7 linked regions of the Ovis aries genome follow. The protein of the gene in region 4 interacts with the protein of the main gene of each other region in a pairwise test. Links are inferred from orthologs where the notes say so. Each region holds a gene or a part of one and is shown on either strand. Other genes may lie near its edges.

Evidence for each region.
Region 1: the proteins of TLE5 (region 4) and FAM124B interact in binary tests that used the Homo sapiens proteins (3 or more experiments, as listed by UniProt). The two-hybrid records come from large-scale screens. The link is inferred for Ovis aries from reciprocal best matches to the Homo sapiens genes TLE5 and FAM124B.
Region 2: the proteins of TLE5 (region 4) and CRX interact in binary tests that used the Homo sapiens proteins (3 or more experiments, as listed by UniProt). The two-hybrid records come from large-scale screens. The link is inferred for Ovis aries from reciprocal best matches to the Homo sapiens genes TLE5 and CRX.
Region 3: the proteins of TLE5 (region 4) and CIB3 interact in binary tests that used the Homo sapiens proteins (3 or more experiments, as listed by UniProt). The two-hybrid records come from large-scale screens. The link is inferred for Ovis aries from reciprocal best matches to the Homo sapiens genes TLE5 and CIB3.
Region 5: the proteins of TLE5 (region 4) and ZGPAT interact in binary tests that used the Homo sapiens proteins (3 or more experiments, as listed by UniProt). The two-hybrid records come from large-scale screens. The link is inferred for Ovis aries from reciprocal best matches to the Homo sapiens genes TLE5 and ZGPAT.
Region 6: the proteins of TLE5 (region 4) and OSGIN1 interact in binary tests that used the Homo sapiens proteins (3 or more experiments, as listed by UniProt). The two-hybrid records come from large-scale screens. The link is inferred for Ovis aries from reciprocal best matches to the Homo sapiens genes TLE5 and OSGIN1.
Region 7: the proteins of TLE5 (region 4) and MTUS2 interact in binary tests that used the Homo sapiens proteins (3 or more experiments, as listed by UniProt). The two-hybrid records come from large-scale screens. The link is inferred for Ovis aries from reciprocal best matches to the Homo sapiens genes TLE5 and MTUS2.

What each region holds. Positions count from the first base shown.
Region 1 is NC_056055.1:226,558,936-226,563,066, reverse strand, and holds the start of FAM124B (protein FAM124B), read left to right. Parts: upstream 1-1,331; 5' UTR 1,332-1,660; coding exon 1,661-2,392; intron 2,393-4,131.
Region 2 is NC_056067.1:54,472,884-54,476,987, forward strand, and holds the start of CRX (cone-rod homeobox protein), read left to right. Parts: upstream 1-1,304; 5' UTR 1,305-1,343; coding exon 1,344-1,443; intron 1,444-2,173; coding exon 2,174-2,325; intron 2,326-4,104. UniProt on the Homo sapiens protein: Transcription factor that binds and transactivates the sequence 5'-TAATC[CA]-3' which is found upstream of several photoreceptor-specific genes, including the opsin genes.
Region 3 is NC_056058.1:6,625,310-6,629,465, reverse strand, and holds the start of CIB3 (calcium and integrin-binding family member 3), read right to left. Parts: upstream 2,801-4,156; coding exon 2,750-2,800; intron 2,506-2,749; coding exon 2,471-2,505; intron 570-2,470; coding exon 458-569; intron 1-457. UniProt on the Homo sapiens protein: Acts a an auxiliary subunit of the sensory mechanoelectrical transduction (MET) channel in hair cells. Plays a role in regulating hair cell MET channel localization and function.
Region 4 is NC_056058.1:18,528,392-18,531,272, forward strand, and holds part of TLE5 (TLE family member 5), read left to right. Parts: intron 1-648; coding exon 649-712; intron 713-2,055; coding exon 2,056-2,100; intron 2,101-2,725; coding exon 2,726-2,788; intron 2,789-2,881. UniProt on the Homo sapiens protein: Transcriptional corepressor. Acts as a dominant repressor towards other family members. Inhibits NF-kappa-B-regulated gene expression. May be required for the initiation and maintenance of the differentiated state.
Region 5 is NC_056066.1:53,738,011-53,741,339, reverse strand, and holds the end of ZGPAT (zinc finger CCCH-type with G patch domain-containing protein), read left to right. Parts: intron 1-902; coding exon 903-1,036; intron 1,037-1,254; coding exon 1,255-1,410; intron 1,411-1,947; coding exon 1,948-2,067; intron 2,068-2,156; coding exon 2,157-2,562; intron 2,563-2,690; coding exon 2,691-2,829; downstream 2,830-3,329. UniProt on the Homo sapiens protein: Transcription repressor that specifically binds the 5'-GGAG[GA]A[GA]A-3' consensus sequence. Represses transcription by recruiting the chromatin multiprotein complex NuRD to target promoters.
Region 6 is NC_056067.1:9,817,996-9,822,071, reverse strand, and holds the start of OSGIN1 (oxidative stress-induced growth inhibitor 1), read right to left. Parts: upstream 2,801-4,076; 5' UTR 2,704-2,800; intron 2,523-2,703; exon of another isoform or gene 2,464-2,522; intron 947-2,463; 5' UTR 763-946; intron 1-762. UniProt on the Homo sapiens protein: Monooxygenase catalytic activity. Involved in regulation of cytokinesis; promotes RHOA activity, probably acting locally at the midbody in late cytokinesis.
Region 7 is NC_056063.1:31,551,565-31,555,064, reverse strand, and holds part of MTUS2 (microtubule-associated tumor suppressor candidate 2), read left to right. Parts: intron 1-474; 5' UTR 475-718; coding exon 719-2,926; intron 2,927-3,500. UniProt on the Homo sapiens protein: Binds microtubules. Together with MAPRE1 may target the microtubule depolymerase KIF2C to the plus-end of microtubules. May regulate the dynamics of microtubules at their growing distal tip.

The sequences.
Region 1 (4,131 bases), on a different chromosome or scaffold from region 4:
ACTATACAGTCTATGGAATTCTCCAGGCCAGAATACTGGAGTGGGTACCCTTTTCCTTCTGCAGGGGATCTTCCCAACCCAGGGATCAAACCCAGGTCTCCCACATTGCAGATAGATTCTTTACCAACTGAGCCACAAGGGAAGCCCAAGATTACTGGAGTGGGTAAACTATCCCTCCTCCAGCGGATCTTCCCAACCCAGGAATTGAACTGGGGTCTCCTGAATTGCACTAAAAGCATTAATAAATAGCTTTTTAAAAATTACAGTTAGAAAAATGTGCTTGTCTACATTTTTAGTAGCACAGCTATCAGAATTCCTAATGATTTTTAAATGGATATTTAGAACACATTAGGGTAGGTGTTATGTTTAGAGCTTGGGTGTTATTGAGTATTAGCCATGCCTTCCTCCAAGGGATCTTCCCAACCCAGAAATCGAACCCAGGTCTCCTACATTGCAGATTCTTTACCATCTGAGCCATCAGGGAAGTTTGTATATTTAGAGCTTGGATGTTCTTATTGAGGATTATTCAGTTTGAGATTCAACAGCACACAGAGTCTCTGAGAAATAAATGTCCTTAATGAGAACTTGCTTGGGCAGCCTTTCCTTATATTCAGGGAGAAAGTCCAGTCTGGGACATCTGGGTCCCAGAGAGGTACCTTCTCCCTGGCTCACAGCGGGGCCACTCACTCAGTTCCTGGATTCAAATGTTCCCTCAGCCGCTTTTAGCTCTGAGACCTTAAGCAAGTTACGTGACTTTTCTGTGCCTTAGTTTCCTTCTCAGTAATTTGGGGACAATGGTCTCTTCATAGGTTTGCTGGAGGATTAAACCAATTTACGTAAAGTTCTAGAACAGTTTATGACTGGTATGTAGTAAATCCTCAACAGAGTGAACAAAGATTATTATTGACCTTAGAAAGGTCTCACTCTTTCTAAAGAATGGGCTTGAGTAAATATCTTTTGAATACACTTGGCAGCAGAGAGAATCATTTTCAGTGAACAGTTAAAATTATTTGGATATAGTAACTTCTCTTCAAAGCCCAGGCATCCATTGTTCAAGAAGAAAATAAAAAGACAAAGGGGGAAAATTCCTGGCCAAGGGACAAGTTGGGAGGATTGTTTTAAAGCAGTCATTGTGTTCAGGTGGCCTGGCGGGCTACTGTAAACAGGGAGGGAGGGAAGGAGGAAACCAGAACCCATTGTGGGCCCAGAAAATGGATGTCTTTTCAACTAAACAGATTGCTATCAGCCTCTCACAGCCGATTCTTATTCCTTTTTGCCTGGTCATTTCCTTTACCGAGTGTCTGTAAGAACCACCCACTCGAGTGTTTCTCAGGATTATAGGTTTTTAGGTCAAACAGAAACCCCGGAGTGCCTGACACAGCCCTGCACTCGCAGTTACATTATACACCGGCTGGATGACATGGACCCCGCTGCTGGTGTGTGTCTCATGGAGGCTATTGTCCCCGAATCTGTGGAGATTCTCTCACAGTGTGGCCAGCAGCAACCAGGCATACAGGATAAGAGCGTGGCTCTGAAGTCCTGAAGCTTTCCTGTTGGGCTGAAGGCTGAATGTAGGAACCTCCCACCCCTCCAGTTCATTTCAGAAGCCGGACCTGCGGGCCCCATTCGCCAGCATCCTTTGTCATCCTCAGCATCCACGATGGATGAGATACCGGAGGCCCCGGCCATGACTGTCCACCTCCTGGCCAACGCGGGGCAGGGCTTGCTTTTGCAGCAAACCCTGGATCGGCTCCTAGATTGCATTTGCCCAGATATCCGTCTCTTTCTTGTGTCCGAGCGGGCCAGTCCAGTGAAATACTACGACAAGTGCTACTCCAAGCGGTCACGCTTCCCGGGGATGTCTGTTCTGCTTTTCTTGCAGGAGAACCTAGGCGAAGAGAGGCTTTTCCGCGTGCTTGACTCCCTACAGCATTGGCCGTGGCAGTGCTACCCCACGCAGAACGCCCAGGGAAGACCCTGCCCCTACATTCTTGCCAATCAGGAATTCTACAGTCTGGACAGCCAGATGCCCATCTGGGGCGTGAGGCAGGTGCACTGTGGCACCGAGATCCTGAGAGTGACACTCTACTGCAGTTTTGATAACTACGAAGATGCCATCCGGCTCTACGCAATGATCCTGCAGAGAGAAGCCACCTTGCAAAAGAGCAACTTCTGTTTCTTCGTGCTCTACTCCACTGAGACCTTTGCCCTGCAGCTCTCCCTGAAGCAGCTGCCCCTCGGAACATCGGTGGACCCCAAAGAGGCTTCAGTGTTGCAGTTCAAGGTCCAGGAGATTGGCCAATTAGTGCCTCTTCTACCCCATCCCTGCGTCCCCATCAGCCGCACCCGGTGGCAAACACAGGACTATGACGGCAACAAGATTCTGCTTCAGGTATGTCTGTTTGGTCTCTGTGATCTCTAGATGCCCGTGTAGCCGTATGATTTGACAGCCAAAATCATGTTGTGGTTCTCAACCTTCTTTGCATACCAGGATCTCTGGGGAGCTTTCAAATCTTCTCATGTCATGACTTCACTCCAGATCAGTTAGACTGGAATCTTTGGGGGCACCCAGGCTTGGGTATTTTTTGAAAGCTCCTTGGATAATGCTAATATATAACTTATAGCACAGTTGAGAGTCACTGGTTTAATCAAATCCCCTCATCTGACAGGAGAGGAAGTTCGGATGCTGTGAGCTGGTAACTTACACAAGTAGTTTGCAGTAGACTCAGACAACGTCCCATTTTTCAGATTTTCCTGTAACCATGCTCCTTAACTAGACACCAATATTTTGCCCACTCTTTCAGTTCAGAAATTTCGTTAGTTCTTTCCATGTGAACCTAAGAAAGCTGAAGTTATGATTAAAGTTGGGAATGTTAAGTATGTTGGGCTTCCCTAGTGGCTCAGTTATAAAGAATCTGCCTGCCAATGTAGGAACGTGGGTTCGAGCCCTGGGTTGGGAAGATCTCCTGGAGAAGGAAGTGGCAACCCACTCCAGTATTCTTGCCTGGAGAATCCCATGGACAGAAGAGCATGGTGGGCTACAGTCCATGGGATCACAGAGAGTCAGACATGACTTAGTGACTAAAACAATAACAACAACAAATGGTAAACGTGCCATCCTGTTGACCTAACTATTAAGTATCTTGCATCACTCTGAAATTTTATCCCAAATCAAGTTAGATGGTTAGAACCCTTCAAAATTGAGAAAAGCTTGAATTAAAAAATCTTCTGGTAAGCATCCTACTGAAAGCAAGCATAATTACAGTTACCACAAGTCATTTCTTATACAATATTATGTGACAGTTGAACCTTGCCACTTAGTAGCTCCATGATGTTTGAACCTTGTTTCCTTCGTTAGCACAATGAGGGTAGTATAACATCTTCCTAGAGGACAGGTTGTTATTTAACTAAGTGACCTGACATTTATAAAGAGCTTAAGCTAGTGCCCAGAAAGCAATTTTAGCTGTTATTGTTTATATTATGCCCTGCTAAGTTGCTAAGTTGCTTCAGTCGTGTCCAACTCTGTGCGACCCCATAGACGGCAGCCCACCAAGCTCTGCCGTCCCTGGGATTCTCCAAGCAAGAACACTGGAGTGGGTTGCCATTTCCTTCTCCAATGCATGAAAGGGAAAAGTGAAAGTGAAGTCACTCAGTCGCGTCGGACTCTTTGCAACCCCATGGACTGCAGCCTACCAGGCTCCTCCATCCATGGGATTTTCCAGGCAAGACGACTGGAGTGGGGTGCCATTGCCTTCTCTGATACTATGCCCTAGACTAAGTACTTCACTTTGATTATTTTAGTTAGTCCTTCTTACAACCTAGGAAGTTTTACAAAAGGCAAAACCAAGGAGTAGAGGTACCAGTTACTTGCTCAAGACACAAGATTAAGTGTTTACCTGGCTCTGAAACCAGGCAAGTTAACCACCACAGTCCAGTACTCTGTAAGTGTGTGTGGGCAGGGAGGTGTACATGATATTCACAGCAAAGTTCCTGTCCTTGAGAAATGGTCAGGAAGTGCTTTAAGACCTACTGGATAAGGTAAAAGCAGGCTAAAAGATGAATTATCTTTCCCTTTGATTAATTTTATTCTCATCAGCTTTGAGTTATTAATAAAATATGAGTCATACTGAT
Region 2 (4,104 bases), on a different chromosome or scaffold from region 4:
AAATTCCATAACTTACTTACTATGTCTCCTTTGGTGGATGTATAGGGTGCTTCCACATTGCGGCAATTATAAATATGCTGCATTAAAAATCCTAGCTTGGGTGGGGAGGGGTAAATTAGGAGTTTGGGATTGACAGAAACGCACTATGATATATAAAGGAGAGAAACAGCAAAGACCTACTGTATGGCGCAGGGAACTCTATTCACGCTCTGGTAATAACCTGTAGTGAAAACTAACGTTAAAGAAATACAGAACTGAATCACTTTGCTGCGTACCAGAAACTAACACGACATTGTAAGTGAACTATACTCCAATAAGAAGTATCCGAGCATAAAGTCTGTGCAAACGTCTGCTTGCAGATAATAATAACCACCACAGGTTTGTAGCATTTGCTGCGAGTCAGGTGCTATTTTAAGTATCAGATGCACAATAATTCATTTGACCCTCACATCGACCTAAAGATGTAAGCTGTATTGTTGGTTCCCATCTTCTGATGAGGTGGCTGAGGCACCTTGAAGGTGAATTGCTGGGACCAAGGAAAGACGGCATTTTTCTTTGATAAATGTTTGCAGTTTGTTCCATCCACACTGTCGCCCGTCTGACACAAGTAGCCTGTTCTGAGGCCATCCCTGGAGTTACCAAGCCTCTTTGATCTTTGCCAACTTGATGGGGTCAAAAATAGTCATGGGAGATCATTACTTGCTGTCATTTGACTGTGACTCCCTTGGGGTCACTAACCATCCTGATTTGTCTGGGAGTTTTCAGATTTGTCACTGAAATCCCATACCCCTAGAAAGCTCTCTATCCCCGGCAGACTGAGACAACCAGTTTCCCTACTTTGCCATGATTCTGTGTGAGGCTGAACATCTTTTTTGAGGTCCTAGGGGTTGGGAAGATCTCCTGGAGAAGGCCACGGCAACCCGCTCTAGTGTTCTTGCCTGGACAATCCCATGGACAGAGGAGCCTGGAGGGCTACAGTCCACGTGTTGCAAAGAGCCGGACACGACTGAGTGACTGACGCTAACACACGGGGTGGGGGAAAGGTCTTGGACAAGGGAGTTGGTCAGAAGATCTTTTAAAGGATAGAGTAGGAATAGGAGCTTACATTTAGAATGCTCCTTACAGCTTTTGATCTTGGCTTTATAGAGTCCCAGTGATGCTTTGACGACCTTAAGCAGAGGGCTGTTTTATAGGTGAGGAAACCCAGGCACAGACTGGGGGGATAAGTTGCCCAAGGTCACATATCTAGGAAGAGACTGAGGCGGTGATGAACTGGGGAGTTTGTGAGCACCCATCCTTTTCTCGCAGGCCCCCTGACCTGGGCCCCAGCATCCCCGAAGATCATGATGGCGTATATGAACCCGGGGCCCCACTATTCCGTCAACGCCTTGGCCCTGAGTGGCCCCAGTGTGGATCTGATGCACCCAGCTGTGTCCTACCCAAGTGAGTACAGTCATCCTCCCTGCCCCCCCACCCCCTGCTGGCCCCCACCTTCTGGAGTCCCTTGCCCTCAGGAAGCGGATGGGTACTTACAAGGATGACATCAGGGCCATACACCAGCCAAACGGGCTCATCTGTAAATGCAAAGCACACCCCACATCTCTTAGGGATGCAGGAGAGCGTGTGGATCTTCATAGAAATTTAGGACAGTGGTTCCCTTTCGGGTGAGGGAGGGAAACCATCTGGAAGGGGGACCCAGAGGAATTCCCATCTGTCAGCGATGCTTTATTTCTTAGCGAAGGAAGCGTTCTATTTTTGATGGTATTATCCTTTTGTTAAGTTGACCATTACGGTCCTGCCTCTTTTATAGGCTGGATATCCCCAAACGGCTGGATATCCCAAATGTCATGTTTCAAGTGAATGTCTTAGTGCAGAAGGAATTTTAGAAAGGGGATGAAAACCAAACTCAGATACCTCCTTACACAGGTAAAGCCAGTTCTCCTCGGGGCGAGGCAAGAGTCCCCCCTAAGGATACGCAAAGGGAGAACCCGTTTCCCAGGGGGACAGAGTGAGGTCTAGAAGTTGAGGGAATCAGCACCCCCTTAGTTTGGGCAGATGAACGCCCAGAAGAGGCTTGTTAGCATCCCATGCCTTCTCAGGACCTTGCGTCAGCAGATGCAGAGAATGGGGTCTCAGGTCACCCAGCAGTCCTGTTTTTCTGTCCTCACCCCAGGCGCCCCGAGAAAGCAACGGCGGGAACGGACCACCTTCACGCGAAGCCAGCTGGAAGAGCTGGAAGCCCTGTTTGCCAAGACTCAGTACCCGGATGTGTATGCCCGTGAGGAGGTGGCTCTGAAGATCAACCTGCCTGAGTCCAGGGTTCAGGTGGGGTGTTCTGGTCCCTGGGATCCAGAGCGGAGGAAAGAGGGAGAGGTCACAGAGGAAGGGCTGAAGTGTCCTGTTAATCTCTCATCCCCGTAATTTCGCTGGCTTCCTATCTGGCATGCCTATCCCCTCTCATTCTACTCCATGAGCACTGCCCCAGTCCTTCCTTCAGCATTCCCACCAAGAACACTCTTTGTTCCCTCTACCCGGAAGATATATTCCCTACACCCTGTTCAAGTCTTTGTTTATCAACCAATCTAGTCACCTTGCCAGTCAATGAGACCTCCACCGCCCTTGGCATTAGAAGCTGCAGCTTTTTCCCGCCATCCCAACTCTGCTACTCCCCCTCACTCTGCTCAATTGGTCCTCCCATAGCATTTATCACTTTCTAAAATTCTATGTGATTTCCTTCCTTACTATTTATTTATATGCTGTCTCTCTCAAGACTTCCCTGGTGGCTCAGATAGTAAAGCGTCTGCCTACAATGCGGGAGACCCAGGTTCAATCCCTGGGTCGGGAAGATCCCTTGGAGAAGGAAATGACCACCCACTCCAGTATTCTTGCCTGGAAAATCCCATGGACGAAAGAGCCTGGTAGGCTACAGTCCATGGGGTTGCAAAGAGTCAGACACGACTGAGCAACTTTCTTTCTTTCATTCTCTCAAGTAGAATGTCAGCTTCATTGGTGTGTCCCCAAAGGAGTAGAAGAATACATGTTTATTAAATAACTGAACGGATGGATGGATGGATGGATGCATGGATGGGTAAATGTATATGTGTGTTTGATTGTATATATGTATGATGCATATATGATTGTATATATGGATGTGTATGTGTTTGTATGATAATGTGTGTACATATGTACATAAGATCGGAAAGATGAAAGTATGTATCATTGTATGTGAGGTGAAAGTGTCAGCCTCTCAATCATGTCGGACTCTGCGATCCCACTGACTGTAGCCCACCAGGCTCCTCTGTCCATGGAATTCTCCAGGCAAGAACACTGGAGTGGGTAGCCATTCCCTTGACCAAAGCCGGGTCTTCTGCATTGCGGGCAGATTCCTTATCATCCGAGCCCCCAGGGAAGCCCATTATTGTGTGTATATACTTACAACTGTGCTTAGGCATGACTGTTATGTGTGTGCTTATGATTGGCTGGTGAATGTGCGTAGGTATGACTGTATGTCTGCATGCATATATGAATGATTCGGTGGACAGATGAATGTATAGGAGTATATTTGTATGTTACATGATAGTAGGTATGTACATATGATTGGCTGGAAGAATGTGGATATATGTGTGTGACCATGTGTGTGCCCGCAAATGTATGCATGTACAATCGTGTGCATTGTATATGATGGTGTATGTGTGGCTGTACAATCGTGTAGATAAATAGTTGGGTGGGTGGTGGATGAATAGAGTGCCCCATGTTGCTGTGTAGCTGCTCAGTCGTGTCTGACTCTCTGTGACCCCATGGACTGTAGCCCACCAGGCTCCTCTGTCCAAGGGATTTCCCAGGCAAGAATGCTGGAGTGGGTTGCCATTTCCTTCTCTAGGGAATCTTCCCGACCCAGGAATTAAACTCACGTTTCCTGCCTTGGCAGGCGGATTCTTCACCCCTGAGCCCCCTGGGAAGCCCCCTGAGTGCCCCACAGCCGATTGCAAAGTAGAGAGTTATGACTCTGGCATGCTTCACCGATAGGCATCACCACTCCTGGGCATCACGAAGGCTCCCCTGGGCCTCCTGCCCACTCTCCCTCCCTCATCTCCCCTCTCGCCC
Region 3 (4,156 bases), about 12 Mb from region 4:
GCCGGTGCTGGAGACATAAGAGACGCAGGTTTAATCCCTGGGTTGGGAAGATCCCTTGGAGGAGGACACAGCAACCCACTTCTAATATTCTTGCCTGGAAAATCCCCATGTACAGAAGAGCCTGGCGGGCTTACAGTCCATAGGGTTGTAAAGAGATGGACATGCCTGAAGAGACTCAGCACGTACTCAGCGCAATGTTCCTAAGTACTTGCCATGTCACAGGCCCTGTGCTAAGCCCTTTACCTGCATTATCTCATCTCATCTTTCCCACAACCCAGGGTTTGAATTGTCTCTCTCATGTCCTAGCTGTGTGATCATAAATAAGTGTCTCAACCTATCTGAAATTCAGTTTCTTCACCTGTAAAATAGAAATAATTGCAATAGTCACCTCATAGAAATACAACAAGGGACATCCCTTCTATTTTTTCCCATGCCTGCCCCAGGGCCCTGGGCATACCTTCAGCTCAGGCATGCTGCCAATGAGCTCATAGGGCACCTTCACATCAGGGCAGCTAGTATAGTCGAGAGGGACAAGCTGAGGGGCCAGGTCCTGGTAGCGATAGAAGAGCCTGGTATGGGGAGGGAAACAATGAGAAGGTCTGGGAGATGAGTGAGGGTGGGCTTGTCTCTACTCTCTCCCTTTCACAGATGCTCACTCTACAATGAAGGATGCTGAGCCTTCAGCCCTGGGCCCAGCCCTCACACACAGGGACACCTTTATCTCCCTAGGGACAAAGCCAAGGTAAAGACAGGACCCCAGGGACTTCCCTGGAGGTCCAGTGATTAAGAATCCACCTGCCAGTGTGGGAGACACAGGTTTGGTCCCTGGTCTGGGAAGATCCCACATGCCATGAGGCAACTACTGAGCTCATACACCACAGCCACTGAAGCCCACGCACCTGTGAACCCATGCTCCCAAGAGAAGCCACCGCAGTGAGAAGCGCACATATCACAACTAGAGAGTAGCCCCTGCTCACCAAAACTGGATGAACCTCCACAGCAACCAAGACCCAGAGCAGCCAGAAAATCAATTCATTGCTTTTAAAATGTTAAAACAAACAAACAAACAAACAAAGCTAGGGGAAACTGGAGTGGGGAAAGTAAGCCAAGGAGAAGGAAGGACTTCCTGGAGGAGGGGGCATGGGTGCTAGGTGCTGGGCTTTGAAGCACAAATAAGAGCTCACCAGGCAGATGGGGTTGACAGAAAAGAGAGTGCTTAAGGCAAGGTCATCTCACACTGAGCATTCAGAGACTCTGAGTGAATCTACGATTTGCTGGACATCATCACACTGTTGGCAAGACCCTCATCCTCACACTTTCCCTCTCTGCCTCCATAATGGGGGTTGTAGTTCCCTCAAGGCGCCAGAGACAAAGTCTAATATTCAGGTTTCTCCAAGGGGTAAATGAAAGGCATTTTGCAAAACAGCAAAGGCCATACACACTGCCTAGATGGTGGGGTCAAGTGTCTACTCCAATGCCCTTGCCTGGTGATACTGTACCGTCACTGGAACATGCTGAGCAGTCACCTTGTACAGACTATCCTTGATGAGCCAGAGATCCTGAAGTTGTTAGGGATGCCTCAGAAGGTGATAGAAGCCATATGATGGCTAGGAACTGGAAGAGGGGGGTATCTGGAACTTCACCGCTGGGTCCCTTCAGAGAATAGTCTGGGTTTGGGTTTCTATGTGGCCTCGAGTAAGTCCCCCTTCCCCTTTTCCCCCTTTCTGCTCAGTAGGTCTGTGTGAGAAGCAAGAAGCTTGAGATGCACAAAATGTTAGCCTCAAACTCTTTGGGGCCCTACCCATCTACCCAGGGCTCTGAGGTCAGCCTCCCCTGTGTGAGCCTCAGTTTCCCCATCAGTAATCTGATCATGATGGTCAGGGTGACCCTGTGAACTGTCCTCGCCAAGACGGTGGGGCTTACTAGTGGAAATTCTGCCCATCAATAATGGATGTCCTGCACCCACACAATTGGGACCTTGGCCCTGATCACTCTGCAGTCAAACCCCAGCCAACTTGGGTTTCACAGGTCAAAGTTCATGGGTCCGGAATCTGGATAATGGTTCCATGGGCTGAGTGATGCTGTAGGATAACCCCTCCATGCCTGTCTCACTCACACCAGGAACCTGCAGCAGCCTGGGGCCACCTCTTCACCCTCTAACCTTGATGTCAACCCCATTGCCCAGAGCTGGCTCTAGACTCTGCCCCCTGGGGTCCCAGCCTGTTCTCACTGGGCCTCAGGGGGAAGTTTTGATCCACATCGCCCCTGCTCACACACTCTCTATGGCTCCCTGCCACCTTTCGGAGAAAGCCCAAGCCTGTCAGCCTAGAGATGTGGCAATAGGACCAGATGGGACTTCTCAGCAGCCTTCCCATCTCTGCATGCATCCACCAACTGAGCACACGATTCCCCCATTAACTGCAAAGCATATAAAGTGCCCAGCTCTTCTTCCCTTCCTCCTCAGACTGACCTCATGATTTCCTTTCTCGTGAAGAAGGTGCAGTCCTGTGGAGAGAGATGTTGGCTTAACCCAGACCCTGCCTGATGCCTGGCGGGGGGGGGGGGGGGGGGGCGCCTCCTTCCTCTCCCACAACCCATTGCTGCCTGAATCCACACACAGAGCCACCCCAAGACCTCTTGCTGACTGCACCCCCACCCCACCAGGATGAAGGGATGCTGTCCCCATTTCTTCAGCCAAGAAAACAACCAGGCTGCCAAACCCACCGATGGCTTGGTCCATCATCCCTACCTGATAAGCTTCCAGTTGCTCGTGAGTGAAGACTGTTTGCTTGTTGCCCATAGTGGAGACCTCTGCCTGGACTCTTGAACAGGCTCCCGAAGCCCCCCGCCCCGATCCCCTCAGGGCCACCCTGGTTGCCAGGCCGCCGTTCACCAGTGTCTGGGCAAATCTCCCTGCCCTGGCTGTCACCTGCCCACCCTCCTCATCACCCCCAGCCTGGGTGAGACTCAAGTTACAGCCAAGCTCTCTGGGCAACGGCCTGAGTATATGTCCACAGCCATCAGGGCAAGGAGAAGGGCTTAGGGAGGTCCCAGGGCAGCCCTCAGTGGGGAGCCCACACTTGCCATCACCAGTGAGACTGGGGGTGTGGGGCATCTTTGAGAAACAGGCAGGGTGGGGGAGAGGCTGCCAGCACACTTCAGGCCAAATTCCAGCTCTTTACCCACTAACTGTGTGGTCTTAGGCGGGTCACCTGGCCTCTCTGAGCCTTGTTTGTAAGATGGAAATTATATTAGTACCTACCGCATAGAGTAGTAAAGAATCTGCCTGCCAAAGCAGGAGACTTGGTTTCAATCCCTGGGTCGGAAAGATCCCCTGGAGATGGAAGTGGCAACCCAATCCAGTATTCTTGTCTGGGAAATCCCATGAACAGAGGAGTCTGGTGGGCTACAACCCATGGGGTCGCAAAGATTCGGACAAGATTTAGTGACAAAACAACAATAACATAGAGTTGCTCTGAAGATCTAATGAGATCATTCGCTCAACTTCCCCAACCAACAAAAAAATATTTGTAACCATTGAATTTAAGCCAGTTCTAGACCCATGATAGTGAACAAGCTAGACGAGGTGTGCATTGGAGATGATGATGAGCATGTTATGGCTTGAGAAAAGCAATCTAATGTCTAAGTTTGGGTTAAATTAACACCATAGTTCTTTATTGCCGGACTTGTCAGACCCTTTAATATGTTAATGTGCACCATGTATTCTCAAGGGGTAAATTCAGTAATTTCCCCTACATATTGAATGAATTTCATTCCAAGAGCACGTTCTTAAGTCCAATTCATTCATTAAGTCCAACAAAGTTCGTCGAAGCACTCAACTAATACAATTGGCTTTTTGTACTATTCATACAGTAATAATACTTTTCACACAAATTGCACATAAAAAGCAAACACACAAGATACAACATTTCAAGTCCTACAGCACAGTACCTTGAAAAGTACAGTAGTACAGTACAATAGCTGGCATACAGGGGCTGGCATCAAATGAACAGTCAGGAAGAGTAGCCGACTGGAGGAGGGAGAGGAGGTGAGATGTGGTGAAGCTGGAGGACTATCAGCAATAGGAGATGGAGGGCAAGCTGCAATCTCACTCCCGTCTGACATCGATGGCACCGATTCTGATTCCTTGCTGGAG
Region 4 (2,881 bases):
GGGCCTTTGAGAAATATCCAAAGCTCATCCTTGCTGGGGCAACCCAAGAGAGGAGGGGGATCACCAGCTCTATTATCCAGTGATAGAAATTTATACCCCTCCCCCAACCATGGAAATCAGAGGTCACAAGATGGGCTGGGGGCCTTTGAAGATTCCTTACTGAATTCAGTCCAGAGCCCTGCCAGTGGGCTCTGGGCCCTTGTAACCTCTCAGCAATGTCTGTTTATTCCTTCTTTGCTGGAGAGTTTTGCCCAGTGGGTGGGAGTATGGCCTTTGAAGCCAGCTTCCTGGCTGTGTGACCTTGAGCCTGTTCACTCAACCTCTCTGAGCATCCATTGCATCATTTTTATGAAGGAGACTGACGTTAACAGCCCTGACCTCGTTGGATTTCATGATAGGAAAAAGTTTCTTTGAATCCCTGTCTGACCTACAGTCAGGATATTTGCTCTGACTTCTGTTTTTATTATTTTCATTGCTTTCTCCACCCCCACATCTTCAAGGTGGGTTTCATCATCCCCAGTTTCCAGCTAAGGCACCTTTGGGTCCCCTTCCCCCCTCTTCTCTCTGACCCCCACCAAAGTTTGGGGCTCCCTTGCACAATGAGGGGGACATCATCCCAGCCCTGGCCCTCCCCCTCTTCTTCTTCAGTCTGAAACTCGAATGTGACAAGCTGGCCAGCGAGAAGTCAGAAATGCAGCGTCATTACGTGATGGTAAGCCAGCCCGGGGGTCTGGTGGGCAGGGCCAGAGGACCCCAGGTCCCCCTCCAGCACTGGCAGCTGCTGTCTGAACCCTGGCCATCTCCTCTGGGATGTGCGAGAAGTCAGGGTCTGCTCTCCGCTCAGCCAGCCCCTGGCCGGGCTGAGTTAATCTTGTTGGCCTGGCTGCCGGCCCAGGCAGTGGCCGAGGTGCCAAGCCACCGGGTTGCGGCCTGGGCCTGCCAGGTCCCTGGCTGTCCTTGGCAGCGGAGGAGCCAGTGGCTGTGAAAGCCAGGAACTGGGGTTAGAGGGGGGTTGTTGATCCCTCCCCTCCCCACCCCCACTGTCTAAGCATCCCAGGCTTAACCCCTCCTAGTCCAAGCTTGGAGGAGGACTCCTGGAGGGCCCCCTTCCCCAGGCAGGAGGCTGACACTCTTTTGAGGTGGGTGGGTGGAAGGGAGGGAGGGGGTGACACTTCCTTCTTGGGCCTGACATTGGAGACCCTGCCCCTGCACACTGCTGGAATCACTTGCTTCGCTTCATATGCACCAGGTGGTGATTTCTGCATCAAAACCCCTGCCTAAGCCCAGCCCAGAGCCCACTTCCCCCAGGCCATGGGGGAGGCAGAGCTGGACAAGGAACCTCTGGATTCAGAGGGATGGGGCTGGGGCACTCCAGAAGGGTATGCTCCTGTTTGGAGAAAGACTGCATGGAGAAGGAGGCACTGCAGCTGGGGTCCTGATGAATGGATAGGAGCCAGCTGGGCAGAGAAGGGGAGACCACACAAACCTGGCTTTCTCCCCCTATCTTCCCTGGGGGGTGATGGGGAGTCATAGGAAGGTTTAGAGCAGGGGAGGTGCAGGGTCAGATGTGGGGCATGAGGAGGGGGGGCGCTGGCCCCAAAGGCAGACCCAACAGGATTTGTTTATCCTCGATTATTTATACCCAGGAAGACAAACTTCCCTGGAGTCCGGGGCCACCCGCAGACAAGACACATAAAGATAAAAGATTAGGAGCCTTGGAGTGTGTGTGTGCCTGTGTGTGTGTGCGTGTGTGTGTGCGTGCGTGCGTGCGTGTGTGTGTGTGTGTGTGTGTGTGTAGGGGTTGAGGTCATTATTCCAGAAATGGGGCATTCAGGGCCCCACTGGCGTCCCTAGCATCCTCACCAGGCACCTGGGCCCCAGCTCCAGGTGTGGGTGTCTCCCCGCTTCCGACTCCATCTCTCTCGCCTGCCCTCCCCTCCTCCTACCTCTCTCTTTCTCCCCCTCTTTGTCTCTCTCTGTCACTTCCCCTGTGTCTTTTGTCTCTGGAACCTCACATCCTTCACCCACCCCCATTTCTGTCTCCCCCCTACACAGTACTACGAGATGTCCTATGGCTTGAACATCGAGATGCACAAGCAGGTATGCCCCCTTCCCCCCTCCTCCGCCCCCCTGCCCCGCCCAGGCAGGTAGGAACCCGCCACCCCTTGGCTGAGAACCAAGACTGCCTTGGTATCCTGTTACCTCCGGAGCCCCCCCACTTCTGTTCTTTCTCAGGCCTCCCTGGGAGGTTGCTCTCCCTGAGGGGGAGGGCAGAGGCTTTCCCAGGACCTGCCACCCTCACTCCATTGTCTCTCTTTTGTGACAGCCCTGGGGGAGGGGGGTGATATGACCTGCCAACCCACCCTCCAAACCCTATCTCAGGTGTGTTAGAGAATTCTGATGCCAGCTGCCCCGACCTCTTCCTCCCTCCCTCTCACGGAATGCTCACTACCTGTGAGGCATCGGGCATCTTTCCAGGGCCACCCAGACCCCAAGCCACTGGGCCTGGATTTCGCTCTGTCCTGGGCTCTTAGCTACCCTCAGAGACTCAGCCCCCGGGGCCACTTTTGCTGCTGATCGGGTGCCCATGGGCCTGATGAGTCGATATGATCCTGGGACTTGCCGGCCTCCTCTTGGATTAGACAGAACCGCTGGGCTTTCCAGGGCTGGTCTGCACCTGCCCTGGCTGGCTGCTGCCCAGGGCTGAAGTGTCTGTCTGTTCCAGGCTGAAATCGTCAAGAGGCTAAATGGGATATGTGCCCAGGTCCTGCCCTACCTGTCCCAAGAGGTGAGCAGAGCCCCCGGGGGTCTGCTGGGAGGAGATAGACCCTGAACTTCCCTCAGCCCCACCCCTCTGTAGGCATCTGTGTGCCCCAGGGCA
Region 5 (3,329 bases), on a different chromosome or scaffold from region 4:
CTCTGTTCCCACACTTCCTGTCCCACCTCCTCTCTCCTGGTTTTCGTTTTGGTGTCACTGTTTCAGTGACAAAGACAAGGCAGCACCATTACAACCAGGTCCTCCTAGTTGGCTGGGGAGGCCTCAGTCCTGCGAGTGACGCAAGCAGACCCCCTGTCTTGATGACCTGTTGTGTCCAGCGGAGAGGTGCCAGGGAACTGTTGTCGCAAGTGTGTCTCCCAGCCACATGTGTGCCTGTGTGTGGGTGACTCTAGCCCAGGAGGCTGGAGAGTAACCAGAAGCCTCTAGTCCTTGGGGCACCCAGGTCCATCTGAGAGAGCACAAGCACAGTGTGTGTGTCCATACGTGTGCATGTGTACGCACATGTGCATACACGTATCTGTGTGCTTGTGTGTAGTCAGTGTGTGTATGCCTGTGTATGGTGCATGTGTGGATGTCTGTGCCTCTGTGTCCATGCATGTGTGTACATACATGTGTGCATGAGTGCACTTATACGTGTGCCTGTGTATATATGTATGCGTGTATAGGTATGGGTGTGCATACACATTTATACACATGTTCAGTGTATACATCTGGGTGTGTGTACATATGTGCATGAGTATATTGCATGTGAATACATGTATATGTGTGTAGGTGTGTGTGCGTGTGATGTGTGTGTGTACATGTTGAGTGTATATGTGTGGATGTGTACATGTGTGTGTGGATGTTGCGTGTGTATACATGTGTTCGGTGTAGATGCGCATAATTGTGTATTATATGCGTGTCTGTGGATGTCTGTGTGGACCTATGTGTCCCTCTCTCCATTCATATCTCCATTGGACGGTGTCCAGGCAGGTAGACTGGATTATTTGGGCTTGTGGGACCCTGGTGGCCATACCTGAGTTATGCGGCCCTCTCTGCAGGTTCTCGCACGGGCAGGTAGTCTCAGTGGATGAGCTGCGCCCCTTCCAGGACCCGGACCTGAGCTCCCTGCAGGCTGGCTCTGCGTGTCTGGCCAAGCGGCAGGATGGTCTGTGGTACCCAGCACGGATCACTGGTGAGGCTGCCCCGGGGCCTCCCTGACAGGCCCTTCCCAGGAAGCCCTCTTCATGTGTCACATGTGTTAGTCCTGCGTGACTCCTCCTCTGGGTGGGTGTTGGGGTCCCACCCCACACATGAGAAGAGCAAGGCCCCCTTGGTTTTGGCCCCACCCTGCTCCCACCTTCCAGAGCGGCTACTTCCGTGTGCTGCCCTGCTGCCTCTGTGCCCCTCCAGATGTAGACAGCGGCTACTACACAGTCAAGTTTGACTCTCTGCTGTTGAAAGAGGCTGTGGTAGAAGGGGACAGCATCCTGCCCCCACTGCGCACAGATCCTGCAGGGTCCTCTGACTCAGACGGCAGCGATGCAGACGACCCCAGCTATGCTCGAGGTATGGCTGCTGCCACCCCCAAGAGGCTCCCGGCTGGCAGGGCCCACACTGTGGTCAGTACAAGGACACACTCCCGGGGAGACGAGGGTGTGTGATGGACCTGGGGCACGTCCAGAGACCCACAGACGCAGAAACCATAGTCCCACGCAAGCCGCGGGAGGGGATGGGATGCACAGGAAGGAACAGCTTCCTGCAGGGCACGGGGACCTGTTAGCTGGATGAAGGATCGGCTGTCAGTGTCTAGCCTCCCCCCAGGGGTGGGGGTGCCCACATGGGGTCTGTTAGCCGCATTGTCCATACTGATGGAGGGGAGGACTGCTCTCCACAAGGGAACAGGGAGTGTGGAAGGGTGCCATCCTGTGACCAGGTCGTGGAAATGGCTAGGCTCTGCCTTCTGCTTGTGCCACATGCCCTGGGCAGGGTGCTGGGGATGCTGGGGGCTGGTTGTGCAGAGCTGAGCTCTTGGGTTAGCCTTGGCTGGAGCCCAGGATCCTCTGCATCTAGCTGGGTTAAGCCACTGCCCTCTGATACCTGCAGTGGTGGAACCTGGTGCTGCCAACCCCGGGACCTGCAGCTCCGCTTTTGCCGGCTGGGAGGTACACACGCGGGGCATTGGCTCCAGACTCCTCGCCAAGATGGGCTATGAGTTTGGCAAGGGTGAGTGCACTTGTGCTGCCTGGGGACAGGAGGGACTCCACATCATGGCCCAGGGGTCCAGTGGCAATGCCAGCCTGGTGTTCCCCTAGGTCTGGGCCGTCGTGCAGACGGCCGGGTGGAGCCCGTCCATGCTGTGGTGCTGCCACGTGGGAAGTCACTAGACCAGTGTGCAGAAATCCTGCAGAAGAGAACCCGGGCTGGCCAGGCTGGTGTCAGCAAGCCCCCAAAGTGCCGGAGCAGAGGGAGTGGACCTGGGGGCCGCCCACCTCCTCGCAGTGTGTTTGACTTCCTGAACGAGAAGCTGAAAGGCGGGGCTCCAGGGGCCCCAGAGGTGGGGGCGGCACCCCCCGGGAGGAGTGGCAAGGAGGTATACCATGCCAGCAGGAGTACCAAACGGGCCCTGAGCCTGCGGCTCCTCCAGACCGAGGAGAAGATTGAGCAGACCCAGCGAGCCATCCGGGGCATCCAGGAGGCCCTTGCCCGCAACGCTGGCCGGTATGTGTGGCCCTGCCCCAGGCACCTCACCCCTGCCCAGCTTCCCCTGAGAGAGTTTGGGGGCGGCGGGCCGGGTCTGAGGAGGGGCTGGAGGCGGACGGCAGTGCTGAATGTGGGCCCCTCTCCAGGCACAGTGTGACAACGACCCAGCTGCAGGAGAAGCTGGCAGGGGCCCAGCGGCAGCTGGGGCAGCTCCGGGCCCAGGAGGCAGGCTTGCAGCGGGAACAGAGGAAGGCCGACACTCACAAGAAGATGACTGAGTTCTAGAGCCCTGCACGTGTTGTGGATGGAACTGAAGGGCCTCGGCTCCTGCTGCCCTCGGGCAGACAGCAGGGATGCCACCAGAAGGGCCAGCCTGCTCTGTGGCTACACCCCACAAAGGGCCTTCTTGCTGGCCTCCAGCACGTGGACACTGCTGAGCAGAAACAGGCTGCAGGGGCCCCTTCCTGATGCTTCCCTGCCCACTGAGTCCACCTGCCAGTGTCCTGGGGCGTCTCGTGAGCAAAGACATTAAAGTGACTTTGTCACAGTGTCTGATTTCATTGGAGGCTTGACTGGCTGTGGGGTCCTTGGGGAGTAGGGGTCTTTGCGCCAGGTCACAGGGCTGGGCTGGAGGGGTCCTGAGTGAGCCTGCTGCCCCTGCCCAAACCCAGAGCCAGGAGCCTCCTTGCTGCTCTCCCAGATGTGGGTCACAGCCTCAGATGCCCCCCCCCCCACAGTGCCTGACACCCACAAATGAGTGGAGCTGGTGCTGCAGTGGTGGGAGG
Region 6 (4,076 bases), on a different chromosome or scaffold from region 4:
CCCAGACCGCCCCGAGCAGCCAGGGATGGGAGCCTGGCATCACCCGCCTTCAGAATTCTTCCAGGAAAAAGCTTAAATCCGGATTTTTATGTGAATTCCCTGATTTGGAAGAGTATGCAACTGATTCACGTTTTTTGCAAATCTTGAACGGGCTGAGGGAGCACGACCGAGGCCAGCGTGGGACCTCTGATGTGCCAAGAGTGACAGCAACACCAGTGTCCCCCACCGGGCGGGGAGGGGACAGCCGGGGGGTCTGGCCAGAGGACCTGGGTGTCGCTGCCACGGCACTGACAACGGGCCCGCCCACAGCCTTTACAGTTTGCAAGGAGAGGAGCTTGCAGCTAAGCCACAGCATCTGTGCCCCGCAGGCACCTGGAGAGGCGGGCGCCGTCATCTCCGGCTGGCAGTTGAGCGGGGGGGGCTTGGAGGCAGCAGTGTCACAGGGGGGTGTGCCCTCTGGTCTCCAGAGAACCGCCTCAGTGGGGCCTGGGCCATGAGCTGTATCCCCCATCAGGGACCCCTTGCCCCACTCCACTCCTGGTTCCCTGCAGGGACCCCGCTGTCCGCTCTGGGGTGACACCACAGCCACATAGAACAACCAACATTTCTGAACTTCTGCGGGCTGAGCCGGGTGCTGAGCATGCCCTGAACACTTGACGCACATTCACCAACTTAACCCACATTTAACCGGGTTGTTAGAAGTACTCTCACGACCGCACCCATATTACAGATGGGGAAGCTGAGGCCCAGCAAGTGTCTCACCGTCCTGGATGGCTTGCGGGGAATTTGCCACAAGGGGTGCCGGCTCAACTGGTTTTGAGCCTGGGCTGCTCTGTGCGAGGGCCTTCTCGTGCCCCCCGAGGCAGTGTGACAGGGTGTCACGGGGTGTGACAGCGTGTGATGGAGGCCCCTCCAGGCTGAGTGCAGCTCTGTCCCAGTGCTCCACCTGGGGGGGGGGGGGACAGCGTCTCACTGGCCAGCCGCTGGGTGTGCCGGTGGCCCTGGGGCAGGGGCTGTGGTTCCTAGAACACTCCCTTCACACAAGCCCAGGGCTCCACGCTGATGTCCTCACTGTCCCCAGGAACAGGTGACATCCTTGTCACGACATCCTTTCGCATCGGCGCCTTTCATCCTCAGGGAAAGCACTCTACAGACGAGCAAACTGAGGCTCAGGGCAGTGAGGCCACGCCCCCGATGTCAGAGAGCCAGTGGATAATGAATCAAGAGTTTGGTCCCTAGACACCCCACAGCCTGCCACATGGGGTACCCACAGAGCGCCCACCCCAGGACAAGTCATTTTCTGCCCTGTCCCTGTGAATCCTCCCAGCGCCAGTAAGAGGGGTGTTTGCAGGAGCCCCCGTTTATAGACAAGGAGGCACTGCAGGCTGCCTGTCTTCACGCTCCCAGGAGGGAGAAGGCCCCATTCACCACCAGGGCTTTTGGACCCCACGTCCAGTGCTCATGCCAGAAACTTCTGGATGCCACACGCATGAGGTCACCACCCAGAGGCTGACCTGAGCGGTTGCTTCCTGCACCGCAATACACAGGGCCCAAGTCCCGAGACTTGGAGCTCTCAAAACCTCCTCGGAAGAGTGCACGCTGCCAACTTTCCATTTGAAAGTGTAACTTCCTATTTCTCACACACTGTTTAGTTTTGGGGAGCTGGGAAGGTCAGTTTCCAACGTCCCTCTGGTTGAAGACGGCAAATGTTGACATTAAAAAGGCCTTCAAGTTCACAGGAGAAAAGCAGCGTAAAAGAAATGGGAATAATTGCACCTTCCTGGGTGTGGAGCGTAGAGTTTGGAGCATTGCAATTTCTAGGGTTATTGAAGATTACACTGCTCTAAGGCTTAGGACACCTGTATGGCTACATTTACTGAGCACCTGCGGTACTTTTGCTCATTTCACTTTAATGACAACCCTCCTACCCCACCCCGTGGATTTTTTTTTTTTCTGTTATCCCTATTGCCCAAAGGGAAAAACTGGGGTCAGGAGGGTGGTGTCTTTTCCAGGAATGTCAGAGACCACACCCCAAACCCTGCCCTGTGACACCTGTCGGAGTCCCCTCTGAGGAAGATGACACAACAGTGCCCCCAAGAAAGTGCCGTGAGGCCGGGGCAGAGGAGGATGGGGAGGTGCTCCGCCAGCCCAAGTGCCACCTGCCAGTCACCAGAGTGAGCCCTTGGCCTCTGCACCCACCCCCTGATACCAGTGCCCCCAGAGCCTCCCTCATCTGGAGCCCCAAGAGCTCTCCAGACCCTCTGAAACTCCACTCCTCATTCTCGGTACCCCCAACCCTCCTGTGAGAAGCCAGGTCCCCCTCGACCCTGGGGGCTCGGTCCGTGAGAACAGGAGAGGCGGAGACGGAGGGCAGCACCCAGCCTGCCCGCGGGACCTGGTCAGCCGGCCTGGGCTGGCCACACCTCTCTTTCCTGCCTGGAGTAGCATCACGTGGGCTGAGGTGAACTCCCAGCAAGCCAGCCGGCAGGGCAGCTGTCAGCGAGGGTGCCAGGCACCTGGAGGTGGGCATGGCCAGGAGGGGGGGAGGAGGATCTCGGGGGTTGGGGGGGGGTCATGCTGGTCATGGGGAGCCGGGGTGGTCCGCCCTCAGGACCGCCTGGGGTCCCCTTGCCTGGCCCCAGGGCCCTGCCCGGGTCGGGCTACCTTCTCCCACCTCCCCCAAGCCTCGCCCGGGTCACTCACCTGACCGGCCGGGGTCGAGGACACTGGGGAGCGCGGTCAGGCCTCTCGGAGAACCTGGGTCAGGGAGCCGGGTTACCCCGTAGGGATTCAAGAGGGTGCGAGAGACGGGAAGCCCGGGTATTTCAGGGGCTGGGAAGAGGCGGGCGGAGGGCGGGGCCAGGAAAATCACTTTCATAAGCGTGAGTCAGCAGGGGCCCCTGGATGAATGAACTTGCACACTTGAGGGCGAGCGGTCACGTTGCCAGCCCCGGGGGACGGCCTTAGAGGGCCCACCCCGGGGTGGTCCATGGCGAGGAGGCGGGGCGGACACCGGCCGGGCTGAGCCAACCTGGCCTTTCGCCTTTTAGGGAGGCGGAGACAGTCCCGCCCAACGTACCATCAAGGCGGTCGCTTTGAGTGGAGAAAGTCCCGGTTCTGCTGGGGGTCTCCGCGGTTCTCCACCCCACGCCCCCTCCTGGCTCGGCCCCAGGCTGGGAGCCCCGCCCTGCCCGCTCCTGGGTGGGCTGCCTCAGTTCCCCCGTCTGCGAGGGGGGCCATGCGGCACCTCTCCTTCCTGGGTGACCGTGCTGTTTCGGTGACTGTGCCTGAAACAAGGCTCAGAGCTCCTTTTCTTCATTCCAGCCCCCCACCTCTCCGTCTTTAGCCAGGAGCATTGCATACCTCACGTTCTGCTGATCCTTATGGATTTTGTTATATTATCGTCTCTCCCCAAACCGGGATGTGGATTCTGTATGGTGCGGGAAGCATCTCTACGTCTGTTCTATCCCACGTCTGGGAGGGCACTCAGCACAGTTAGGGCGCTCAGGAAAGGAAAGTCGGGAGGAAGTGAGGGCAGTGCTTGGCCTATAGACTCAATGCCTATTAGCTGTTATTTCATTTTTCATGCGATTGTCACCTCTCTTACCTGGAGACTTTCCTGCCAGCCCTGCCCTGTGAGGGGGACCAGGGATATGTTTTGCCCCACTACCGCTGGGACCAGGGTGAAGCAAGAAGGTCCTCACCTTGTGTACAGCATTTAAGGGGAAGCCCCAAAACACTCAGAGATCAAGAAAAAGAGCATTTTGATGCAATTGAAAAAAAAAAATCAAAATTAATGCCCAAATGGTACTTCCCCGGCGGTCCAGTGGTTAAGACTGTGTTCCCAATGCAGGGGCACAGGTTTGATCCTGGTCAGGGAACTAAGATCTCTCATACTTCATAGTGCAACCAAAGAAAAAAAAGATTAAAAAAAATTAATGTCCAAAACCCAAGATGAACAAAATTGTTAAAACTTCAGACAAAGGCAGTATCTCTAACCAGGCCATGCTGAGCAGTACCGGAACCTGCTGCAAAAATCAGATGCTGATGCTGCCTTTATTTAACACTTTGATGTT
Region 7 (3,500 bases), on a different chromosome or scaffold from region 4:
TTCCTTTGTAGGAAATAAAGCAGTCTGGAGGGTGGTGCTCTACGATTGTGTAAATATCCTGTTTCCCAACAGTTCTGCACTTGGTGATTTTAGCAACCGTTGGTGTCCCTCATCCAAGATAATTATTACTCTGGTGAATACAAAGTGGTGATTTTTCTAATTGTCTAATTTTTCTTGTATCAGTTGGTATTCTTCTGTGAAGAAAAACCTTCCTTTCTCGTCCGCCCTTTTAAATCAGTATCAGTGTGAACTTGTGGATTTTTAAAATATAAACTTAAGATTTAATGTGTGTTTATAATCCATTTCTAACATTAATCATTTCGATGTTATGTTCTGCCGTGCCCCTATCAGAAAAGCTCTGGAGAAATAGCATCTGGGTTGAGTGAATGAAGTAATGGTAGGAAAGTGATGAATAAATCTGTTTACCGAGAGTTTCTGTCAATCTACTGTACTTTTCTTTTTATTTCTCTCTAGGTCTCATGGACTAATTGGCTCTCATTCAGCCGGAACCTAACAGATAAGTCATCCTTCTGTGTGTGAAGACAATGCTCAGTTTTAAGACTGCTCTGAAAATGATGAAAGCAGGATCGCCCCAGTGACGCTGTCAGGGGGCAACAAGCAGCTTGAGAATTTCCTCTTCTCCAGGTAGCAGCTTGAAGGAGACCCTTTTCCATTAAGGAGGACTGCATGGCAGGCAGCCCCCACTGACGGCTGGAAAATGAGCGTTCCCGTGGCGCCTAAGAAGTCATGTTACAGTGAATTGCGGGACAGCAGAAATGGAGCAAAAAATAATAACGACCGAGTCCTGAGTTTGGGAGATGCCAATGCCAACCCCATTGTGTTGGAGGTTGGCTCCTCTTCTGACAAGCCTGCCACGTGTGCTGTGCCAGAGGAAGTTGGAAATGCAAATTCGAGGGGACCAGAGAGTAGTCCCCGTGTCCCGAAGGAGTTTCACCCACTTCAGGGCTTTGCAAAGGCATCTCAGGCTGGCCCCACCGGCCTGAAGGATTTTAAATTCTCTCCGATGGCTCAGAGAGAACGGAATGAAGAGTCTGAGCTGGAGAGAGGCGCAGACCACCTGCAGGTCCTTCGTGGTCTCCAGGGACCAGGTGTGCCGAGTCGGAGGACTGTCATGGGCGAGTCCAGCCTAGAGGTTCCAGCTAAGCGGGAGGCTGATGTCCCCTGGCCTGTCGCCAAGGATAAGTTGGCCAAGACCCTTGACAACGAGGAACTGAGGAGGCATCCTTTGGAAAGATGCAGCAGTTCTGCTGCAGCAGTGGACGTGCTCACAAAGGAGTGGGCTGGGGGCCTGGCCTGGCCGCTTCCACAACCCACAGGGCTGGGGTCCCCAGAAGCCCCGCATCCGGTGCCTGGCGGTGGCGAGGGGCCGCCGAAGATGGGGACAGCCCCTTCTCCAGGGCTGCCTTGTCCTCCGGCGGACGGGACCTCAGAGGGAAAGGGCGCACGTCATCCTAAACCATCTACCTCAGTAACCATGGAGACCGTCCCCTTAGAGACCCATCCAGAGAGGGGACGGGTACCCAAGCTCAGCGCCCAGAGCACAGCACCTTCTGCCCATCCAGAGGGTGCTCTTGATTGCTCTCCAGCCTCAAAGGATGTCCTGAGGAGGCCAGAAGCACAAGTGGGTCCAGGAAAAGTGGAGCCCAAGACAGAGCTGAAACCTGTCCAGCCCAGGGCTGTGCAGGAGCTCAAGTCCACCCAGGTGGGCGAGCTGGGGTGTCGTCAGGGGCATGGCATGTCACCTCTTGGGAGAAAGGAGCCAGCTGGGGAGGCGCAGCCAGGAGCCTCAGCTGCTGGGTTAAGCAGCCTGGCACACAGCGTTCCCCACCCCCTGGACACAATAAGAGACAGAGATGAGCCAGAGAAGGGAGGTGAGGACGGGTCTCTCCGAACCACCCTCAAATCGAGCCCCGGTTCCTCACAAGCTGCGGATCAGCAACCCATGGCCATAAGTTTGCCAGGTGCAGCTCGGAAGCTGGGTGAAACAGTGCCCAACGGCGTGTCAGCAGGGGATGGTCATGTAGCTTTTGTTCCTGGAGATTCAACTGACAGCAAGCCCTCTGTTGCCAGTGACGAGAGAGGCGTCCTGGGAGGTGGGAACAGTGTCAACACTATGGTTTTTGACTCAGATTCCTCTGTTGGAGAGAGCAAAACCGGGGTCCCTGAGCCCCCCAACCCTCCAAGCAGCCGCTCAGAAGCCGAGGAAGGCCAAGAGGTCTCTCTATCTCTTGCAGAGACCAGGAACCATCTAGAACCTGCAGTAAAGACTGAAAGCACCTCCCCAGTGAGGGCAGATGTCCTTCTTGGTGTCCCTGCGTCCCTCCACCCAGAGACAACTGTGAATGTGGCCCGCCAGCCCCCGCCACCCAGCAGCCGCTTTCAGGACTTGGGCACATCAAGTGTGGATGTAGGGTCCCCCCCGGCTGCCCTGCCTCCCGCTGACAGCACCGGGTTGTCACACACCTCCCCAAAAGTGCCTGCCAAGAACGCCTGCCCTGGGGGCCTTCCCCGTCCTGAGGACACACCCGCCTCACTGGAGGGGACAGTGGGCCCCCTGGTTGAGAAGAGGGAAGAGCGGGCGGAACCCAGGCCCGTCGTGATGCCCAAGCCCAAGCACGTGAGGCCCAAGATCATCACCTACATCCGGAGGAGCCCGCAGGCTCTCGGCCAGGTGGACGCGTCGCTGGTTCCTGTGGGGCTCCCTTATGCCCCGCCTGCGTGCAGCGTGGCTCTCCCCAAAGAGGACAAGGCGGCGGGTGCCGACCTGAAGCCGGCTGCCGGCCTCTACGAGAAGTTCAAGCCAGACCTCCAGAGGCCCCGGGTGTTTAGCTCCGGACTAGTGGTGTCGGGGATCAAGCCCCCAGGACATCCCTTCAGTCCAATGAGTGAGAAGTTTTTGCAGGAGGTAAGAGAATGTCATTGTGAGACAGTCTGTGAGTTGAACATCCTGAAGTTCGTGAGGTGTTTTCAATGAATCGTGAAAGCAGAGTGTCCTCTTTTAGCAAATTATAGATGATGATGGACGTATTTGTGTAGAAAGGCGTGTTTTGAACTAGAGCAGATTGCAGGCAAATGAACGGTTTCCTCTGGAAGAGACTGATGACCAGAATGAGGTGGATCTAACATCTAAAGGGATTCTTTTAAATTCCACCTGACATAATACATAAAAGTTGGAAAAGCGTTTAAATTGGCTTCCACATTTAAATTGTTCTTGTTGTTGTTCAGTCACTCAGTCGTGTCCGACTCTTTGCAACCCCATGGCCTGCAGCACAGCAGGCTTCCCTGTCCATCACCATCTCCTGGAGCTTGCTCAAACTCATGCTCATTGAGTCAGCAATGGCACCCAACCATCTCATCCTCTGTTATCCCCTTCTCCTCCTGCCTTCAATCCTTCCCAGCATCATCAGGGTCTTTTCCAATGAGTCGGCTCTTCGCATCAGATGGCCAAAGTGTTAGAGTTTTAGCTTCACCATCAGTCC